Linked DNA regions of Xenopus tropicalis. The protein of the gene in region 2 purifies or fractionates together with the protein of the main gene of each other region. This does not show direct contact. Links are inferred from orthologs where the notes say so. Each region holds a gene or a part of one and is shown on either strand. Other genes may lie near its edges.

Region 1 (7,743 bases), on a different chromosome or scaffold from region 2:
AAGTGAAGAGGAGAGACCACAGGTGCTTCTTAAGACAAAAGAATGGCATGGGAAAAAAAAAATCACTGGAGCTTATTTATAAACACTGGGCTAATTTTCACTTCAGCAGCAACCAAAAAGTTATTAGCTTTTTTCAGCCAGTTGCAGGTATAACAATGAAGGCACACATCTGATTGATTTCCATAGGTTCAGGTAGCCAAACACATGCTAATGATAGCTTCTTATTGGCCCATGTATGGAGCCGACAGATGTGCCAGCCAGATATGTATTGGACAGGTTAGGTTTTATCCACCAAACGAGGACTGTATGGCACATTGATGCAGATAAATTCAAAACTCACCAGCACACCCTATTCTTTCAAATAAATTCCGCCTGGTGGTCAGTATATAAGGAGGGATCGGCAGCCCCACTAAACCTTAGAACAGTGATCCCCAACCAGTGGCTCGTGAGAAAAATGTTGCTCGCTAACCCCTTGGATGTTGCTCCCAGAGCCTTCTGTAGGCTTCCAGCCAACATAGGGGCAATTAAATAGCCAATCATAGCTCTCATTGGCACCTCATGCCTGTGTTGCTCTCCAAAACTTTTTCTATTTTAATGTGGCTCACGGGTATAAAAGGTTGGGGATCCTTGCCTTAGAATAAGCAATTTACTGGCACAACAAGGCTATAACAACATTTATTCAGTGCAAGCCATGTAATGTTTCAGGGCATGTCAGACATGTCTGATGAAGAGGCGTGCCCCAAACTTTACATGGCGTGCATTGAATAAACAATTTTCCCGCTTGTAATAGCCTTGTTATGCCAGTAAATTGCTTATTCTAACGTTGATGCAATCTTCATCTGACTGGTCTGTAGGCTTCTCCATATGTGGGCAACAATTGGATCAGCCTGATTAGGCCCTGTACACAATTGCCCAGATCTGCTTATGTGGCAACCTTGCCAAAACAAGTGGCTCTCCTAGTGTATGGCCAGCTTTACTGCCAAGCGCAGCAATTTGCCCAGTGTTTATAAATGATTCTCACAGGGAATACACAGATACTGGGATAACAGTGCTCTGCCTGAAGAAAAAGAAAACTATATTTTTACTTAAATATATTACTGAAACAATGCTTGCACTTGGGTAAGCACTGGGTAAACTCAGTCAGTGCTGCATTATTTACATCTGCACTATTATTGGAGGAACGTGCATCTTGAGCATGCAGGGAGGCTGTTAATTTTATGCATTCATAATTATAAAATATTAGGTACCTACTTTAACTTAAAGACTTTTAAAGGGAAGGGGGGTCAGTGATTGCACAATTTGCCACTTGAACCTGCCCCCAAATCCACACTAAGAACGGCCTTGTCACTCGTAAGACTGGGTAAAATGTCATGAGAACTGGACCTGATCGGCTAATGGACAGCTGCTGTGTTGACTTTAGTAATAATAATTAAAATAGAGTCTTCTATTAAAAAAAAAAATTCAATATTTTTATTTTTGCTGGAAAAAAAAAAAGTTAAAAAGGCTTGGCAGCCAATATTATTTGTTCTTGACTAAACAACCAAGTCAGTTTGTTTGATAAGGGCATTCTATATGGATTTTTAACACAAATCTTTAAATGCCAGACATCTGTGAACAGGAAGCTGAATGAGTGTTTCATGTCGTCAGCTAACGATTCTGCTGGAAAAGAAAGAGTTGCAAATTACTCATCAAGGGTTTCTGTTAGAAATGCAGTTTTATTTCATAGTAAAATCCCAACACAGTTTTAATTGCAAAAGAAACACTCTTATTTATGCACCTCCTATGCCCTTTACACAACAGTATTTGCAAGACATAATAAGAGGCATGTAAAAATAAGTAGTTACTTGGAATCATCTGGGCCATGGCCACAGATGTAAAAATGTATCTTATTTATATCAGATGTATTTTATATCAAAGGCTTTAAAATGTTAATATCAAAGATACATTTATTTTTTTTTTACATTGGTGGCCATGGTGGACTCATTGGGTGCCCATCTTTCTGTAGCTGATGGTTTTCCACTTCCCTATGCAGAGGGTCTGATGCTGATGCACCTGGACTGCAGTTTGAATCTGGAGAGTTTCTACCTAATATCCTGGTGCCCTGGTTTCCTTGTACAGTAAAATGGGCATTATCCAGACTTGGGCAAACCAAGTGTATATCCATAACAGGAGGTACTAGGTGTCGGAACCCCACACACTCCCTACACTAGGTACCTCCTACAGCTGGCTGCACTAAACATGGGACTGATGGTAGTCTGATCCCCATGTACAGCTGGTTTATGCAGACTTAGCCACACTCCTACCACTATTACTCTTTGTATATTATTATAGTCTGGCACATGAGTCCAGGGAGGAATGCCTACTCTGTGCACTATAACAAAACAGGTGCATGCAATGCCATCACAAGTCAGAGAGACCAGATGAGCAAGCAGCCTGCAAGTTACATTCTGTAATACTGTCCATGAGGAGCCACTTTTACATCATGGGCCTCCAGCTAGACATCTCCTTAACACTATTTAAATATTTTACCTATATACATGTTCCTTAAAGAGGACACAAAAAACTTATGGCACCCATTTAAAATATGATGCTGTTACCTGCTTCATTATTTCATCTCTTGTAGTAAAATGTGGAGCATCTTCTACTACAATGCCTTCTGCCATACTAAAGACTTTTTCCAAAAGTTCATTGCTGTAACTGAGAAAACAAAAAGAATATATAATTGTTCAGCATGTAATGCCTAAACTGTGATCAGTGATTTCAGAGCTTGTGTATAATAGCTTTATTACCATCAACATATTACTTTACAAAGATGATGCATCAGGCGTCTGGCATGCCCTTTTGTGACATCATTGCGGGGGCATGGGCGGGTCTATAAATAAAGGGAGGAGGTCAGTTGGGGTTGAGTATTTCTGTGCATCACTAGTGGGCATATTGGGAGAAGATCCCCTAGTTTGGTGACTTTGACAAACGATCAGATCTTAATGTGTTTGGACCCCTTAAGGCAGTGTTTGTTTATCCTTTCTGTTTCCTGGGTCTGACTCCTGAAATAGAATAACCCCTCTTTTAAAGGAACAGTAACACCAAAAAATTAAAGTGTATAAAAGTAACTAAAATATAATGTGCTGCTGCCCTGCTACTGGTAAAAGTTGTGTGTTTACTTCAGAAAGTCTACTATAATTTATATAAATAAGCTGCTATGTAGCCATGGGGGCAGCCATTAAAATGAGAAAAGGCACAGGCTCATAGCAGATAAAACACTTTTGTATTCTACAGAACTTATCTGTTATCTGCTATGTAACCTGTGCCTTTTCTCCATCTTGAATGGCTGCCCCCATGGCTACACAGCAGCTTATTATATAAATTATAGTAGTGTTACTGTAGCAAACACCCCAGTTTTACCAGTGCAGGGCAATAGTGCATTATAATTTTATTACTTTAAAGCTCTTTTATTTTTTTGGTGTTACTGTTCCTTTAATCAGCTGGCTCACAGCATTGTTTCAGGAGTCAGATCCAGGAATGCAGTGAATGTAAACAGCCAATTAAGTCCTGCTTTTTTTTGCACGTTACTTTATCACCAGCGGGGAAAAAAGTAGACATATATATTGGAAAGTTACTTAGAATCGTATTTCCAGAGCTGTCGACCAACTCCATATCATAAAAGAGACAATGATCCAGTCTTGGATTTTTTATGTCTAAATTCTACTTTACACTTCAAATAATAACATGAAATAAAGTCTCAAAATGGCCTGGAGTGGATCACAATCTTCCTCATGACCTAGGGCTGCTTGGCAGCTCTGCATTTCATTTCACCATGCAAAACCACATTTTGGGGGTGAAGATCCTAGCTGCTGCAGAAATGACAGCAAATGCAATGTAAATAATGCAGTAGCAAAATGGGTGCGTGGGTGTCTACATTCACTTTAAAAACACAAAGCAATGTACATGTTCGTATAACTGCTTGGAGCAATAATGCAAGCACAGAGAGTGTATAGCTCAGTACAATAACACTACATTACCGGCAGCCCATGAACACGTGATTAGCCCAAACCATGGATAAAGCCAGCAGCCGATCTAGAGCGCTCTCATCCTCGAAATGCTTCAGGTTTCTAATAATAAATTCTTCTCTCGCCTGCCATTGCTTATCGCTTTCAGAAAAGCTTTGAAATTGCCCGACAAATTCTGCCGCCATATTGTGTACGGAAATAAGATACTCAGCAAAACATACGAACTTCCTTTGTCTGGCGAGCAGGCATGGGTCACTTCCGGTATCAGCTCTATGGTGTTTGGAGCGGCTCAGGAGCACTTCCACGTAGTGACGTAGTGCTAGGGAAACGAACAACTAGTGCGAGGGGACGTAATGACGTAATGCTGAGGGAATGAATATCAATACGGGGCGCGATAAAATCGCTCGCCACATGCTTTGGGTGTACGTCTATAACAATAAAATTCGATTTAAGGAAGCCTAGTGTTTTCTGGGTTGGGCGGGAATCTATGTGCCTTGGGAGGGGGTTGAGCCCTAAAGTTACGAAGGGCGGGGATAGTCATCGTGATATAGTGATGTCATGTGAGTCAGTGATGGGGAGTGCCGTGAGGTACTGGGGACAAGGCAGGGTTACTGTGCCGTTATATGTTGGGGTATGGCAGTGGTTAATGGGATACGCTAAGGCCTTTTGTCTTAATATACTGGAGGGATTTCTGTCATGTTGGGCCATGAGATGTGGGGGTAACTGTTATTCCCTGCAGGGAGATGCTTCCATTTAATGCCAATCATGTGGCAGAGGAACAATTTACTTTTCTGGGGGAGTAGGGGGCGTCACTATGCCATTTTATGATACTGATAAAGGTGCCTGTGCCAATTCATGTTGTTCCACATATGCCAGTCTGTTGTTATGGTCACTAGTGTGCCATTCTATACTGGGAGTGATGGGACCATTTCATGCTTGTTACCCCTATACCTTTCTGTTTAGGTGTCACTTGGCTTACATACATCTGTAGGGACCCATAGGGTTAATCTGCCCCTATCTCTTCCTTATTTCTGCTGTTACTGGGCAAAGACCCATGTATCAGTTTATAGTTATACCTTATACCTATTGGTTATTTGGGTTGACCACACCTCTTGCAAACTCATATAGTGTTTAGCAGGAGGGTGTGTCTCTTTGGCTGCCTCTGTGTCTCAGGAACAGGTCACTGAGCCTGGGAGCAGGACAAGGCCCCAGTAAAGCCATTTGCCCCAGAGTTAACATCCACTCTGGTGAAGTTGGGGACAGGGCCCCGTGAATGAGGATTAGTCAGAATAGCAAAACTGTAAGAGCACTCTCTAGGAGAGAGAGATAGCTAGAACTAGATAGCAAGGGAAGGTCAGGCCCAAACCAGAAGTTCAGAAAGGAAGTACCCTTCCATCCGGCAATGTTGCCTTAGCTTAGGGCCACGGATAAGTGACAGGATACAGGTGCAAACCCTGATCCATACCTGGCCGTAGGACCCACACAAGTTAAAGGTTATCAACATTAGGATTGGAGTAACTATACAGACTGCCTTCCAAAGTGGTGCCAAGCTGACAGGTGTTTTACCCTGCCCAGTCTCCCAAAAGAGGTGGCATAAACCGTTGTTATCCTCAGTGGGTTCTGCTATATCTGCCTGTATGTGAGTACATAGCTATAAGCCTGCATTTCAATTGTCTTTGACAATAAACTTGTGCTATAGTTCAACTGCAAGAACCTTCTGGCGTCCATCTTTGTTAAATTGCACTGCACACAGCTACAGTGAGTTGTAGTTTTCCTACAGCCTTGCTTCGCATGGACTCTTCCACATAGCCAAGGCCCATCCTGTCCAGAGAGTCGCATGTACCCCATGCTCTAACCTTACACTAGCCTGGGTTTTGTCTTTTTTATAGCTAAATAGGGGTTACACATCCTTCTAGGTTACTGATGCCAAAATGAAGCAGCACACCAGAACTGACCTGCTACTTTCTTTTGTCAGTCCTAGTAATTTTAGCCACCCAGTCTGGGCCTCGTCTCTTTTTTATTTCAATAAATTTTTATTTATTAATGTAGTAAGTTATGTTGAAAATAAACATAGGTCCATCAAGTTCAACCATAATGCCTATATATAAGCCTATATATAAACTGCTTAACTTATACTTAATCCAGAGGAAGGCAAAACCCCCCATCTGAAGCCACAGAGGGGGAACAATTCCTTCCTGACTCCAAGATGGCAATCAGACCAGCCCCTGGATTAATTTGTACTAAGAGCTATCTGTAATAACCCTGTATTCCCTCACTTGCTAATAATCCATCCAACCTCTTCTAAAAGCTATATAATGTATCAGCCAGTACTAATGGTTCAGGGATGGAATCCCACAACTTCACAGCTCTCACAGTAAAAAATCCTTTCCAAATATTTAAATGGAACCTCCCTTCTTCTAAACGGAGTGGGTGCCCTCGTGTCCGTTTACTGGTAAATAAAACATTAGAAAGGTTATTATATGATCCCCTTATATATTTATACATAGTTATCATGTCACCTCTTAAGCGCCTCTTCCCCAGTGTAAACAAACCCAACTTGGCCAGTCTTTCTTCATAACTGAGATTTTCTATATCCTTTACCAGCTTAGTTGCCCTTCTCTGGACCCTCTCTAACTCAATAATGTCCCGTTTGAGCACTGGAGACCAAAACTGAACAGCATATTCTAGATGGGGCCTTACCAGCGCTCTGTAAAGGGGAAGAATAACCCCCTCCTGTGAATCTATGCCAGTTTTAATACAGCTCAAAACCTTGTTTGCCCTTGCAGCTGCTGCCTTGCATTGCTTGCTACAGCCAAGTTTATTATCTACAAGGTCTCCAAGTAGGGTTGCCACCTCTGCTGGCTAAGAAAGCCAGGCAGGGGGCGGGTGACGTTTGTACAGAGTCATGGATCGCTCATCCATCTCCTTCCCACTCAAAGGTTTAATTTTCTGGGAACAATCCTCAGTTCCAAATTGTACTTTCATATCAGTTAACTTTGATGTTTGACTACTGTTCCCTTTCCAGATGTTCCTTTTCACTATAAGTCCATAAAAATTCTCATTACTAAATGTGTAATTCCTCTTTAAAATATGTTTTATGTACAGTATAGCTATCTAAGCACTAAGTCAGTAGGCAGCATACATGTTCTGATAGTGGGCATTAGGCAAAGAGTTTTTCTCTTTTTTCTTGACATATCTCTCATATGTTTTCGGTTTTCAAAAACCAGGTTTCTCCATATCTGGCCAGCTTAAGGCTTTCCTTTATTTTGTCAACAGTCCTCTACCACTCCATGGCTATTATATAATACTGTTCTGTGTAAAAAAAAAAAAAAGTTGTGCAGAGGCTAGTACAGGGGAATACATATGGCAGACATGAGACAGAAGCGCAAGAGCGCCACTTAGTGATTTGTTGCTGTAAATATTTCAGTTACAGAAATACAAGATGAGTATTACAAGTTATTTGCCCTTTAAAAACACTAATCTGTTTTGTTTTGAATGTAAACACTCCGACAGAGACCTACAGTATATAAATATGCCATTTAACTACTTTAGTTGCAGTAAGACTGCAATAGGATAGATGAATGAACACTTAAAGATGGGCCACCAGTCCTGCAGCTTGTGTGACAGCCATTGAAAGAGAAATGTGAAATGAGTATGGGATGATATCAGAGTAGGTGAGAGACACTGACACTATTAATGGATGCACTAAGAGGCTAATACAGCGCAGGATGAAAAT
Region 2 (7,273 bases):
AGGTTGAGTCTAATTAATGCCATTTAGCTTATGATGGCAGTGCCTTTGGATAATTTTCTGTGATCTTTTTATCCATCAGTAATTAATGTGGAGGGTTACAATATTCAGTAAATTCCAGTGAGATGAGTAAGCTAAAGCTGTTAAATCCAAGTATCTAGATTAGTATGCATGCCGGCTTTCTTTCTTCAAGCCACTTTTCCCTTTGAGACTAAGGGCTGCATTGGCTAGACATTCAGTGTTTTTGATTTGATTATGTGATGTGAATGCCAGTTTTTTTAGTGATGAATATTTAACCCTCAAACCTGAGTTGATGTAAGTGTGCCACATTATCTGATCTGAATGGAGCATCTGTTTAGCAATTCGGCTTCTTTGATCTGGATGCTGCAAAATCGTACTTTAAAAATAAAAAATGTGCAGGTGTCCTATTTAGATGGGAATCATGGTCTAATTGTGTATGTATTTGTAATGTTTATTTTCAGATGTGTTTGAATCAACTGGTAAAGCAAATATGTGAATGCATTAGCACATTGTCATTTATATGCTTAATGCTTATATTGGCTGTCCATTTTCAAGATAATTATTTGAGAAATAATAAAAATATTCATGTTCACAACAGTAGTAATTACTTGACCAGAAGAAAATGCATATATTTTTTTTAATGCATTATATTTATAACTAAATTTTCAACAGTCCTGCAGTCCTGAAAGGATATCTAGTGAAATCTACTCTTAATAGCTTGAGTTTGCCTTCCTGAAATTATGAAGCTAGACCATATTGAGTTTTGTACTGTTTAATCTTAAGGTTCAGTCTTGTTCAATGTGTTTTTTTGATCACATATTCTAATATAAGGATGGCAAACCACAAACCCTTGCAGAAGAGTGTTGCCATCTTTGTTTCTTTCTGAGTGAGACCGCGAGAAGGGACTATCTGTATTGGATATGTTGCCTATGATTTAGCCAAAGGCTAAATCTAGATTCCAAAGGTTCTGTTTTAGTGATCTGTTTAGTCAGTATCTGTTTAGTCATCTGTGCTTTCTGCTACTGTTTCTTGCCTAAGCCAAAAGGGTCATGCCAACATGTTGCGTCTAGAACAGATAGCTACTAGCCATGGATAATTTCCAGGGCTGTGGAGTCGGAGTCGGGGGCAATTTTGGGTACCTGGAGTCGGCAAAAAATGAACCGACTCCTACTAAATTTAAATGGGAATAAAAAAAAAATAAAGCAAGTTTAAATGTCCCAATTCACAAACAGTCATAATTAATTACTTCTCTGCTATAAGAATAAAGCCCAATGCACGCAGTGCATAAACGAACACGTTGAGTGACCATGAAGCATGCTTTTCATTGACTGTATGAATGTATAAAATACATTAGCATATTAAAAACAGAGGAGGTGGAGTCGGACGTATCAGAAACTGAGGAGTCGGAGAATTTATCTACTGACTCCACAGCCCTGATAATTTCTTCACCTGTCTAGCTTACTGATGGCTGGTGGTGACAACCAAAGCCCCCATTCAGTTAGAAATAAGTTGGCGGCTGAACTAGGCCTTAGATACATGGGGCAATAAGAATCTCCTCTACTAACAAGTTGTACTTCCTACACTTGGGTAGTGTAAGCACGGTTGGACAGAAGGGATGCAGTGTATCCAGTGTTGGATTTGGTTAAATACCTATGCTTGCACCAAAGATTTGGATGAATACTATCCCAAACCCTAATTTGCATTTTTAAATTTAAGAATTTCCATCATCAAAAAAAAACAAACTTGTCACCTTCAGTGTCCAGTGCTTTTTAGGCAAATATATTTTAGGGTTTGGCTTTAGTTAGGCAAAAACTAAAGGACTTAAATCCTTCAAAAATTGCTGGCGCTAAGTCTTAGATTGAATGAATCAGAAAGTGTAAATGTAATTTTATTATATTGATGGTATTCAAGGGCCCTAATAAATGAAACATTAATTATATTTCATAATGGATAAAAGTTTAGTGGTTTACCCATTGTTCTAATACAGTTCAGTACATTATAAGTAAATGGTTTAAATTGTGTACTGCAATGTCAAGTAGGTTAATTGATTTACAAATTGTTTTTTTTCTGTTTTTCTTAAACAGTGCAGATGCAGTTATTTTGAAGCTGATATTAATGCTTTCATTTTTTTGTGTTTTTTGTTTCAGATTATGGGAAGAAGGCTGGAAACAGCGCTACTACAAAAACAAGTTTGATGTTGATGCAAGTGATGAAAAGTTTCGCCGCAAAGTAGTACAGTCGTATGTTGAAGGCCTTTGCTGGGTTCTGAGATATTATTACCAGGTACTTAGTTGTTCTTCTGCTGCTTCCTTCTTCACAGCAAAGAAGCTGTGAAGAAGCAAAGAAAACCGCACTAGTGCAACAATTTGTGGAGAAAGCCTATGTGCAGCCATTAGCCCCATTGCAGAGTGATACTGCTGTGGTTGAGCCATAGAACATTTTATTTTGCTTGTGAAAGTGATTTAACTGATTCAGCTGTAAAGGGAAACTGCATAATCTGTCTTGAGAAAAATGTAATGCACTAATAGCAACGGGAAAGTATTTTGTCGTTTTGTAGCACCAAGGTTAATGCCAACAGCAGGTTCTATATGCTGTAGATCAGTGCTGTCAAACTGGCGGCTGCGGCCCGCGACCCCCCTCTGTGTGGCCCCCCCCTGTCTGGCTGCTTTGATGGCTTACTCTTGTGTAAGCTTTAAATGCTATCAGTACTGTGATTAACTGGCCCCCTGCATGGTTCTCACCTCAGATTCAGGCTGTAATCAGGCTGTATTGTTTAAATATGTAATCCCCTGTGTTGTTCACACCTTTTAATCTCTGCATTGTTCACCCCCTGCAGTGTTCACACCTCAGGATCAGGCTGTAATCACCCATATTGTTCCCCTGTTCACACCTCAGGAGCAGTAGAAACCCACAAATAATCCCTGCACACTACAAAAAGAACATATACTGAGGTAGTACTGCAATTAAAAAGTTTTTTAATATATAGTTATTGTGCAGACTGTAGGAGCAGTGCCAGCATTGTGTCACTGTAGGCTGTCTGTGTGTGCCATACACACAGGCATCATAGGGCAAGCAGAGTATGGCACACACAGGCAGGGTAGGGAAGGCAGAGTATGGCACACAGGCCAAGTATGGCACAAACCAGCCAAGAATGGCAAACACAGTGAAAGTATGGCACACACAGGCAGGGTAGGGAAGGCAGAGTATGGCACACACAGGCAGGGTAGGGCAGGCAGAGTATGGCAGGTTTTTGCTGTACTACAACCATTAATATGGGTATGGTCATGTGATAACATGGGTGTGGTTTCAAGTGGGTGTGGTTTCAAAAGGGGAGTAGTCAAAACTGGCTTCCATTATCGGCCCTCCACCACGTAGGTCGGAAAAATTCCGGCCCTCAGTACCACAGAAGTTGGACAGCACTGCTGTAGATCAAACATGATTCAAAGTTCTACATAATGATTCTGGATTTGCTCTCCTACCTTTAACATCTAGGTAGACATTAACAAAATATTACCCTGCCCAATATTTCAAAGTGTTTTGTGTGTGGATTGGTCCTGCCTTATGCTGTTTGAATTGCTTAAATTTGCTACTCTACTTTGAGGAGGCAACCAACTGGTTTGAACCAATAACCTGCATACTCTGGCTTAGATTAAGATTTGATGTAGTAGTCTGACTTTTGGTTAACTGTGGCTTCACTATATCATACAGTAATACATTTTGTGCTGGACAAATCATCTTAAAATAATCTTGTTTTTTCCCATTAATTCCCTTTCATTTTTAATCTTTTGTTAATAGGGCTGTGCTTCTTGGAAGTGGTTCTTTCCATTTCATTATGCTCCTTTTGCCTCTGACTTCGAAAACATTTCATGCCTTTTCAAAGAGTTTGAAAAGGGCACAAAACCGGTAAGTGAGCCATGTTTTAAATTACTTCACCCTCCTTGCTAATTCTGCCTGAGTCATCTATTTTGTTCTCCATACTGTTGTACTATATAAAGAAAGATATAGATACATAATCATTTACTATTATACATCACCTCAGTGACGACTTCAAATATTTCTGTAAGGAGGTTTGAATTCACTGGCCCTTATATCATTGGGGACATAGTGCACCAAAAGCCGCCAGACATGACAAAGTTAAAAAAAAAAAAAAAAAATTCACCTAATAGCAGCAGTACTGGTTGTACAGCAGCAAGTGTAACAAGTGATTATGGTTTTTTATTGTCCTCAGACCATTTGTTTGATTTGTGGTCCCTGCCAATAAAATTTAGTTGGGTACTGATGATGCTATTGATACTTTCCAAATAATGCTGCATTCATGAACAGCATTTTTTTTTTCTTTTCAGTTTAAACCACTTGAACAACTTATGGGAGTGTTTCCAGCAGCTAGTGGTAACTTTCTACCAGAGTCATGGAGAAGGCTTATGAATGATCCCGTAAGCATTCTACTCTATTTAAATGTTCGATGTGTTACTCTGTAAAAGACGGCTCCACCAAAAAAATGATTTTTGCATATTGTTGGCAACCCTCAAAGATGCGTTCATGAATAATATATGGTGCTGGTTTCACATTGGGCTAGAGATTCCTATCTGTAAAAATGGCCCTATAGATCTGCTATGGTCCCTGTCTGAGTTTTAAAGAATAAGTAAACCTCTTTTTTTTTCTATGAGTAAAACTACTCTAAACAGCCTCCAGAATTACTTACCTTTTGTCCCAGCATGCTCTCTGACCTGTTTCCTCAGTCAGAAGGTATTCTTTTTGGCTGCTTCCTTGTGCAGAGTGAAGCCCCACCTCCACTTCCTGTTCAGTTCTCTTTTCAATTCGACAAGGTTGTCGGAGTGGAGAGCCTTCTGCGCATGCCTGGAGGCAGCAGGAGCCAGTCTGTGCATTAGCTGTTTTTTTTTGGGTTTTTTTTTTTTGATGAGAGACCTGAACAGGAAGTGGGGGCGGGGCTTCACTCTGCACAAGGAAGCAACGAATACCTTCTGACTGAGGAAACAGGTCAGAGAGAATGCTGGGACAAAGGTAAGTAATTCTGGGGGCTGTTTAGAGTAATTTTACTCATAGAATAAAAAAAGTTTACTTATTCTTTAAATAAGGTGTGGGTGTGTCCTGACAATGCCTGTCTGAAGCACAGTAGGGGGAATAGCCAATCACAGCCCTGCAGTCACACAAGCAAAGACAGGCTACAAGTTCCTTATCAGGTCAGCCTAGCTGCTGATTGGTTCCTATCCTACAGTGCTGAGTGCCTTCCCAACCAGCTGGGCTCATGTTAAAGTGCATACAGATTGTACCTGATTCCACTGTTTGAATTAAACCATGTAAGTTCATGTAATTCAAGACTCAAATCAGTCCTTTCCCGACCCCAGAGTCTGTCAGCCATTCCCCCCTCCTTACCTTTTTTCCATGTGACAGAAATTACTGTTTATAAGGATATAATTTACAGGATATTCATGGCTCTTTTATGTTAAATAGTGATAATTCAGAAAACCTTGTTAGCTGCTTTGTTTTCCCGTGTCAGTTGTTAGAATTTGTTTTTACCACATTATAACTGTAATCGGTAATTAATTTCAGACTTTCTTGTGCTGAGCCTCCTGTAATTTTTGGTATGAATTGAATTTTACAGTATAACTAAAGTGTGTTTGCGTCCGATGCTGTCATAGATTATAAAAATTTAGCTTTTGTAAGATTCATGGATCTCTACACACATGTAGTAGATAAATACCTTTTTGATATAAAATAGGACTGCTGCCACAGCAATTGTTTTATCTGTAGATGCTGGACAGAGCGATAGTATTTAGAGGGGTTGTATGCTCTGCTGTGGTTCCAAGACAGCAATGGAGTGTACTTTCCCCAGTCTGACCCGCATCCAACCCAAAACCCCATTGGTCGCTCAAATTTCAACCCAAACCCGCTCCCATTGCTTTCACAAGTTTCAGGTCAACCCACACATTACTACAGAGGAGTGTACTTCCCCTGTGTGACCTGCAACCAACCCAAACTAGCAATGGTTTCAACACAAATCCACCCAACCCACAGGTTCCATAAGTGTCTGGTCAACCTGCATGTTGCTCAGTACTGATTTACTTTGATTGTACAGGCAGGAAGTAGAATGTGACTTGACCTTCAGTTTGAGATTTGTTTACAGCAAGAAATTTCTTGAAGAAAAAAAAAAAGGCCAAACCTATATGTTCAGGGCAAAACGTGCTTATTAAATTAAGTGTTGAAGAGGAGCTATAATGCCCATGTAGAATATATAGCTTTTATTTGCTTTTAAATATGCCAATAGCTATTCAGTTGAATTGTTAACTATGTCCCTTTTTAACTTTGATTTCCATTTAATTTATTAATGCAGGATTCCAGCATAATTGATTTCTATCCAGATGACTTTGCTATTGATTTAAATGGAAAGAAGTTTGCTTGGCAAGGTAATTAAGAAATACAATTTGTCTAATGTTAAATTTAAAATTTCTTGTCCATTCTTATAGAATTTAGCCTAGATAAAATGAAGGGTAGGGTTCAGGTTGGAAGCGGGCGGGTTAGGGTCAGGTACAGGTATTTCTCGACCTGCACATAGTAAATTCATAGTAAATTCATAGTAAGTTGGGTTGAAAAAAGACATACGTCCATCAAGTTCAACCATAATGCCTATATATAACCTGCCTAACTACTAGTTGATCCAGAGGAAGGCAAAAACACCCCATCTGAAGCCTCTCTAATTTGCCACAGAGGGGAAAAAATTCCTTCCTGACTCCAAGATGGCAATCGGACCAGTCCCTGGTTCAACTAGTACTAAGAGCTATCTCCCATAACCCTGTATTCCCTCACTTGCTAAGAATCCATCCAGCCCCTTCTTAAAGTTATATAATGTATCAGCCAGCACGACTGATTCGGGGAGGGAATTCCAGAACCTCACAGCTCTCACTGTAAAAAATCCTTTCCGAATGTTTAAATGGAACCTCCCTTCTTCTAAACGGAGTGGGTGCCCTCGTGTCCGTTGGAAGGACCTACTGGTAAATAAAACATTAGAAAGGTTATTATATGATCCCTTTATATATTTATACATAGTTATCATGTCACCTCTTAAGCGCCTCTTCTCCAGTGTAAACAGACCCAACTTGGCCAGTCTTTCTTCATAACTGAGACTTTCCATACCCTTTACCAGCTTAGTTGCCCTTCTCTGGACCCTCTCTAACTCAGTAATGTCCCGTTTGAGCACTGGAGACCAAAACTGAACAGCATATTCTAGATGGGGCCT
Region 3 (7,934 bases), on a different chromosome or scaffold from region 2:
CCTGTCTCTAACGTGCCTCTAACGTGCCCATCATGTCTCTAACGTGCCTCGAGCGTGCCCACCGTGCCTCGAGTGTGCCCATCATGTCTCTAACATGCCTCTAGCATGCCCACCGTGCCCATTGTGCCTCTAGCACACCCATCATGTCTCTAACGTGCCTCGAGCATGCCCACCGTGCCTCTAGCGCACCCATCATGTCTCTAACGTGCCTCGAGCGTGCCCACCATGCCTCGAGTGTGCCCATCATGTCTCTAACATGCCTCTAGCATGCCCACCGTGCCCATTGTGCCTCTAGCGCACCCATCATGTCTCTAACGTGCCTCGAATGTGCCCACCATGCCTCGAGTGTGCCCATCATGTCTCTAAGATGCCTCTAGCATGCCCACCGTGCCTCTAGCACACCCATCATGTCTCTAATGTACCTCGAGCATGCCCACCGTGCCTCTAGCGCGCCCATCATGTCTCTAACGTGCCCACCTTGCTATTACCCCAGCACACAGCTGCACTACAAATAAAGGGTAAGTTATTTCACGTCTGACGGTAGCTGCTGACGCAGGAAGGGAAAGGGGACGGGGCAGAAGCAGCTGTGTGTGTAGAGCAGGGAGCTGCCCCCCTAGTGGCACGCGTTACGCCTGGAAGCCAAAGCAATTAGAATACACAGGGCACTATCTGTCAGCGAGCCGGGGGCTATCAGTGCGGAACACACGTCTGATCTATCAGCGACACAGCCGGCTCCCTGCTGCACAGCACGGAGGGGCATTTGCCTGTTCTTACCCCGTCAGCTTCCATTATGGTGCCCTGAACCACTGCTAATCCCCCCCTATCCACGGAGAGTAACCTGGCCCAACACCCACCCCTTGCCAGCTCCTACCACACAGTCTCACAAGGGATTCTGGGAGTTGTAGTAGAACAGCAGCTGAATTAGTAGCTGGAACTAAAGGAAAAAAACTCCTAGTGCAACGGGCAGCAAAGTGAGCCCGTGTCAGCCAGACATGTTATAATATATTATATATATAATGCACCACACTGAACTGCATCTCCCTGCTCACATACAGGGCAGCTCACAGCTCAGGGTACAGAGCACAGCATGTTCTCACGCTATTTAAAGTATTGCTGAGGTAAGTGCAGAGCATTCCCTGCTGGGGGGGGGGGCTGGTAGCCACGAGCAAAGAAATGCCCCCCTACCCCCCCCCAAGCACTGCTGCCTTCAGAATCCCTGGGGTCACATTTTAACCCCCACATCAGCTGTACAGAAGGAACCTAGGGGTGAACAATACAATGTAATACAGGTATTGGATCTGTGATCTGGAAATCTGTTATCAAGAAAGCTCCGAATTACGTAATGGCCATCTCCCAATTACTCCATGTAATCAAATAGTGTATGGTATATGGTGTATATATAGAGGCAGCACACTGTACCCAGGGGTGTCTGGAGGCTACAGATGAAGACTCTCTGTGCCCCAGGGGGGGGGGGGTAATTCCCAGTCCGGCTCAGCACAAGGGATTCCCAGGCACATTCACTTCACTTGCTCTGGATTCTCTTATTTAACTGGGATTCCCCAGTCCTTCCTCCTCCCACCAACACCTGTCCCCAATAGGGCTCCCTGTCACTCCAACCCGGCTCCCTAGTGTTTGCCGGCTGGGGTGCAAATTAGGGACCAAGTGGCCACCCAGTAATTATAAATGGGAAGGGTGCTCTATTAAAGGCACACAGGGGGGCCCCAGGAAACAATCCTCCGCTATATAAGCATTGGGGGAAATACTGTGCAATAAGCAAGGGCTCAGGATGCCAGGCAAGGCTTTAGGGGTTAATGCTGGGTGCCATCACTAATGATCCCTCGTTAGTAACTGCCGGCAACTGCTGCTTAAATCCGGGGGGGATTAGGGACAGAAACTGAGTCACAGCACAGAGCGAGTAATCACACTAAATTCACTGTACTAGCGAAATGGCCACTCAGCACTTACAGTCCTGTAGCCTCCTCTCTCTTTGTGCCCAGGGTACCCCTGGAACTATAGCGGGGTGACTGTTACCCCAATGTTTCTATATATCTGTAACCTTGTTATGGGCTAAGGGGGCCCAGCCTGAAGGCCAGTTAGGGGGGGATTTGGGGTGAGTGCTTATTTGTGCCCTGGGTACCCCTGGAACTATAGCGGGGTGACTGTTACCCCAATGTTTCTATATATCTGTAACCTTGTTATGGGCTAAGGGGGCCCAGCCTGAAGGCCAGTTAGGGGGGGATTTGGGGTGAGTGCTTATTTGTGCCCTGGGTACCCCTGGAACTATAGCGGGGTGACTGTTACCCCAATGTTTCTATATATCTGTAACCTTGTTATGGGCTAAGGGGGCCCAGCCTGAAGTCCAGTTAGGGGGGGATTTGGGGTGAGTGCTTATTTGTGCCCTGGGTACCCCTGGAACTATAGCGGGGTGACTGTTACCCCAATGTTTCTATATATCTGTAACCTTGTTATGGGCTAAGGGGGCCCAGCCTGAAGGCCAGTTAGGGGGGGATTTGGGGTGAGTGCTTATTTGTGCCCTGGGTACCCCTGGAACTATAGCGGGGTGACTGTTACCCCAATGTTTCTATATATCTGTAACCTTGTTATGGGCTATGGGGGCCCAGCCTGAAGGCCAGTTTTACGGACAAGCAGCGGATAATTCAGAAACCAGTGTAGAGTAAAAGTAAATGGATTTTAGGGAAATGAGTAGGTTTAATGGAGCAGCCTAATTGCTGGACTTGGGGCGAGTGGAGGCAATTTAGAGGGAGTGGTGCCTATTTGCACTAAGTATTAGGCAGGTGTATAAGCCTAAAATAGCGAGACAGCCAGGCCAGCGCTGAGGGGGTTAAGGCTGTGCAGGCAGACTGTTACTGGGAAGCAGCAGACTAATCATACGCACTGTTTATGTTTACACAAAGCCATAAAGCAGCGCTTGTTCTGCTGCAAAGTGCCTAAAGGATTTGCGGTGCCTGCTGCTTCCCCCTAATATAAACCCCACTGAATTCTCTCGGAATCACAGCCGATTGTTCCAGTTACCCACAACTCCCCCGGGGCTGAGCAACAATGTCACTGTCCCAAAATTGACCAGGGCCCCCCCCCATTGTCAGCACAGACATAGGCAGGGGGACACATGACCCAGTCCCACCAATCACAAGTCCAGATAACCGGGCTGTGCATCGCTGTCCTGCTGACGAGAGATCTATATATAATATACTATATCTATTGCACATGTTAAAGGGGCAGTTCAGCTGCAAGTTAACTTTTAATATAAGCAACTTTTCAATTGGTCTTCGCCTTTTTATAGTTTTTAACTTTTAGTCTTCTTCTACCAACTCTTTGCAGCTTTCAAATGGGGGTCACTGACCCCGGCAGCCAAAGACTATTGCTCAGTTACGCTACCATTTTATTGCTTATGTTTTTATTCAGCCCCTCGACTATTCTTATCAGTCACTTTCAAATCACTTCCTGGTTACTAAGGTAAAATGGACCCTAGCAACATTTAGCTGCTGAAATTCCATACTAGAGACCTGCGGAACAAAAAGTAAACAATGAAGACCAATTGCAAATTGTCTCAGAATGTCCTAATTCTAGCAACTTGGTCATCAGTATTTCTTTTATTCTATAGTTTTTGAATTATTAGCCCTCCTTTTTCCTGCTTTCTAATGGGGGTCACTGACCCCGGCAGTGGGAAAACATTTGCTTCATGCGCTTACAATGTTATTGTTACTTTTGTATTCCTTCTATTTATATTCAGTTCCTCTCCTAATCAGATTCCAGTCCCTCATGCAACCCACTGCCTGGTTACTAAGTTAAACAAGACCCTAGCAACCAGAGAGCTGCTGAAATTCCAAACTGGAGAAGCTGCTCCAAATAACTAAATAACTGAAAAACCACAAACAATAAAAAATCAACACCAATTACAAATTGTCTCACAATATCAATGTCTACGTCATACTAAAAGTTATTTCAAGATGAACAACCTGTTTAATTAACCCCCACACCACTGTTGTCCAGGATTTTTTAGTTCAGTTTCCCTGCTTGTGTATAGAAGGGCGACAGCTAACAATGGGGACGGGGGACCCCAGTTATGAAGACAGGGCGACCAAGCTGAGACTGTTTACAGATCATATAAATAATCACTAATAACATTTCATTCCAGAAACTGCCATTAATATAAACATGTCCCCAATATATAGTGAATAAGTCATGCTTTTCCCAAATCGTTAATGTCCCTTTTATTTATTGAGATATAAATGACCTATGACGTATGCTGGAACCAGCCAATCACAGCAGAGGAAATCTGTCAGTGACTCACAGCATGTGTGTGTGCCAGATGTAGCTGGAAAAACAAGATTAGGTTGAGGAACTCACAAATAAATATTTATAAACAGCTGCTAAACTGAACTGGAAGCGCAAGTATCTGAGCAAACACCAACAGAATACTGGATCTCTAATTTATACCTTACTCTTGGCCCCCTAGTATAATGTATATAACATATATATACCCACACACTTAGATATCTATATTAGTAAGTAGTATTACTATAGGGCAGCAATACTCAGAATTGATTGATCACTTCATTCCCTACATCTGTAGCCAAAGATCCAGATAAATGTGGGCTCTAACAGCCTCACTAGCCAAACCTATTTGCCCCTATGCTCTGCTTTACTGCCTCCCCTGGGACCCAAGTGCTGTTCTTATTGCCCTTTCTGCCCCCAGCATGCAATTTCTGCCCCTCCATGGCTCCCAAACAGTGCTCCTCCTGCTTCTGGTCCCCTTTGCGCCTCCAGGGTTTCGCTTTCCGGCAACTCTTTTCCCCACAAGCTGTGAATATTGCCCCCAGGACTATTTATTGCCCCTAGCAATGCGCTTCTGTGCCCATAGGGCTTTGATCAATGCCTTCTCCGTGCCCCCACTGCCCATTCAATGACATTTCTGCCCCAGGTCTGCGCTTACTGCCCCCCTGTGCCCCTCAGGGCGGTGCTGGCTCCCCCGGTCCCACTTCTGACGCAGAGCGGCCACTGGCTCTCACCTTGCTCGGCCTCCACACGTTGGTCGGTACTGAATAAGCCCAAGGGGACCGTGTTCCGTTCTGTGTCGGCGCTCCCACTGTCACTCCGCCGCCGTTCCCAGGTTTCGGCCTCTCGCCACAGCAGCCGGTATTTGTCCTGCGTGTGGGAGCAAGAAACTGCGCATGCCCAGAGCACGGAGATCAGAACAGTACGCATGCGCGCTATACCCCAGAGGCAGAAGCTTCTAGCGAGCGCTCGTCTTCCCTCTACTGGCCCAATGCCGCTTCCGTACCTCGGCCGCCATATTGCTACACCTTGTATTTTGAGGCTGACGCACTGCCGTAATGGTGGTAATGTGACAGGGCAAGTGCTGCGCCTCTGTATGTGTTACCCTACGCAATTACAGTGTCAATAAACATAATTTACAGGTAAAAACGACAGGTGATATTTCTCTTTCCAAATTCCACCCAGAATGCAAGATAACACTGGACAAATAGGAAGATACTGCTATTTGTCTAAGCTTTGTACCAAAACCGACACAAACTAATTTCCTACATTGGGCAGTGTGTACTATACATGTGTTTACAGGGTAACCCTTTTGAAATAAAAAATAACAAAAGTGGTATAAAGGTGATACCTTTATTGGCTAACTAAGATAATCATAGCGCCGGGGGTCGTGTAACTAGACCCCCGGCGCTATGATTATCTTAGCCAATAAAGGTATCACCTTTATACCACTTTTGTTATTTTTTATTTAAAAAGGGTTACCCTGTAAACATTTTTGACTGGCTAACACGGTACATCACCTTTTCCTGCATGTACTATACATAGAATTGGCCCTGTAATAACACAAGCGGTGTGTTCTGTGGTATTATCATGGGCGTAACTATAGAGTAAGCAGACCCTGCGGTTGCAGGGGGCCCTGGAGTGTAGGGGGCCTACAAGAGCCCTAAATAATTCAGCAATTTCAATATATGGCGGTAGAATAGGTCAATTTACTAATATTTTGGGGGCCTCTCAATTGACCAAGTTACATAAAAACCCAATGTAATTGCCAAACAGAGCTTTCTGTAGGCTTCCAGTCAACATAGGGGCTACCAAATTGCCAAATTATAACTCTCATTGGCACCTCCAGGAACTTTTTACATGCTTCTGTTGCTCTCCAAAACGTTTTCTGTTTGAATGTGGCTCACGGGAATGAAAGGTTGGGGATCCCTGCAACAGGGGATGTGAGCTGCCAAGGGCCCTGGCCAGTAAGAGCGCTGGAAGGAGAGGTGAGGCCCAGCTGCAGTGGGCAAATAACCCTTCATTCACTCACAGCCGTCAGGTAACCAAACTAACATTGTCCCTAATAATAATAATGGGGAACATTTATATTATTAGTATAAAAGGAGTTTATTAGCATCCCGCATATAACACATAAATTAACACAAAAAACTGCACTTTCTGTCAATGTCCTAAAATCCAGTCATTGTGAGTGAGGTTATAGTGTTTTCTGCAAAACGTTTCTTTTATAGCAGTTCCTTAGCTTTTGTCTCAGACTTTCCTGCAGTAATTGTGATGGGGGAAACGCAGTGCCCAGGGAATAGACACACAAACAAGGGGGAGCAGAGAGACACGGGTCGGTACTGTGAGCTGGCAGGGACTGTACCTACAGACTATATCACTATTAGCCAATCAGGATGTGAGAAGTTATGTCCGAGGGTCTCACAGGCCCACCCCCCAGTGATAACATTTTCAGATGCAGCCAAACAGTGGCTAAAGAAAGGTATAATGGTGTCGGCAGATAATTGAGATTTGTAGCAGAAACACACTCAGGCTTTCAGGAGCCATAGTTGGCCTCATCGAAGGCTTTCCTTGCCCGTTTCAGCTCCTCGTTCATAGTCAGCAGATCTTTGACTCTGGCAAATTTGCGTGGATCCTTCCTGATCAGGAAAACGATATCCTCCACCTGCACGCGGCCCTGGCGCCCAATGGACATTGCCTTGTGGGTCTAGGGAAAGGAATAATAGGGTGTGAACATGAAGCAAACGGGAGAAACCACCTACCTGCCCATGTAACTGTACTGTTACAGCTGCTGCAGACTGTAACGCCAGCGCAAGTTGTTTTTGTACAATATGGAAAATTCACCCTTAGTCTTTAGCACTGAGCCAAGGGATCTAGGAACCTCATTAAGTCACTCCAGTCTCTAGCTATAAGAAGCCTTAAAACAAAGGGGTGATCAGTCCAATGAAATTACTACACTGTCCTGCCTCCTGGTGGGAGGTGCTGTTATCCGTAAGTACCGTGCACCCAAAGAGTTCAATGAAATTAATATTTATGTTCCAGACCAGTGATCCCCAATCAGTGACTCGGGGGCAACATGTTGCTCCCCAACCCCTTGGATGTTGCTCTCAGTGCCCCCCAAACCAGGTAGTTATTTTTGGATTCCTGACTTGAGGGCAAGTTTTGGTTGAATAAAAAGCTTTCCTTCCAAATAAAGCCCCCTATATGCTGTGCATAGAGGCTGTCTAATAGCCAATCAGAGCCCTTATTTGGCCCCTCCATGAACTTGTATGATGCTTCTGTTGCTCCACAAGCCTTTTTACTGTGGCTCACAAAGTAAGTACCCCCTGTACATGGTTTTTCTCTCTCTAAGGGGCATATTTACTAGGATTGGAGGTAAATATCACCAGTGATGTTGCTTTTAGCAACCAATCAGCAATTAGATTTTAACAATCACCTACAAGTTAGAAACCAAAAGCAAAGATCTGACTGGTTGCTACGGGCAACATCAATGGTGATATTTATCTCCAACCTTAGTTAACATGCCCCTAAATCCTGGCATTTTACGCGTAGAGCTCTGGAAGGGCCAATCTTAGGTCTTTAAGTGTGTTCACTAATAATTTGCAGCATTTGGGCAGAAGGGTGCAGGGGCCACACTG

What was found.
Region 1: the proteins of xrn2 (region 2) and cdkn2aipnl purify together in Homo sapiens (co-immunoprecipitation; 6 studies listed by BioGRID and IntAct, with this or other methods). This does not show direct contact. The link is inferred for Xenopus tropicalis from reciprocal best matches to the Homo sapiens genes XRN2 and CDKN2AIPNL.
Region 3: the proteins of xrn2 (region 2) and kpna1 purify together in Homo sapiens (affinity purification with mass spectrometry; 4 studies listed by BioGRID and IntAct, with this or other methods). This does not show direct contact. The link is inferred for Xenopus tropicalis from reciprocal best matches to the Homo sapiens genes XRN2 and KPNA1.

Annotation. Positions count from the first base shown.
Region 1 is NC_030679.2:26,508,562-26,516,304, reverse strand, and holds cdkn2aipnl (CDKN2AIP N-terminal-like protein), read right to left. Parts: upstream 4,247-7,743; 5' UTR 4,193-4,246; coding exon 4,020-4,192; intron 2,698-4,019; coding exon 2,598-2,697; intron 1,660-2,597; coding exon of another isoform or gene 1,657-1,659; coding exon 1,648-1,656; 3' UTR 1,451-1,647; downstream 1-1,450.
Region 2 is NC_030681.2:36,281,128-36,288,400, reverse strand, and holds part of xrn2 (5'-3' exoribonuclease 2), read left to right. Parts: intron 1-2,165; coding exon 2,166-2,301; intron 2,302-3,813; coding exon 3,814-3,921; intron 3,922-4,361; coding exon 4,362-4,451; intron 4,452-6,370; coding exon 6,371-6,443; intron 6,444-7,273. UniProt on the Homo sapiens protein: Possesses 5'->3' exoribonuclease activity. May promote the termination of transcription by RNA polymerase II.
Region 3 is NC_030678.2:3,378,521-3,386,454, reverse strand, and holds the start of kpna1 (importin subunit alpha-5), read right to left. Parts: upstream 5,165-7,934; 5' UTR 5,031-5,164; intron 1-5,030. Other genes in the region: taf13 (transcription initiation factor TFIID subunit 13), read right to left, coding at 6,833-7,003. UniProt on the Homo sapiens protein: Functions in nuclear protein import as an adapter protein for nuclear receptor KPNB1. Binds specifically and directly to substrates containing either a simple or bipartite NLS motif.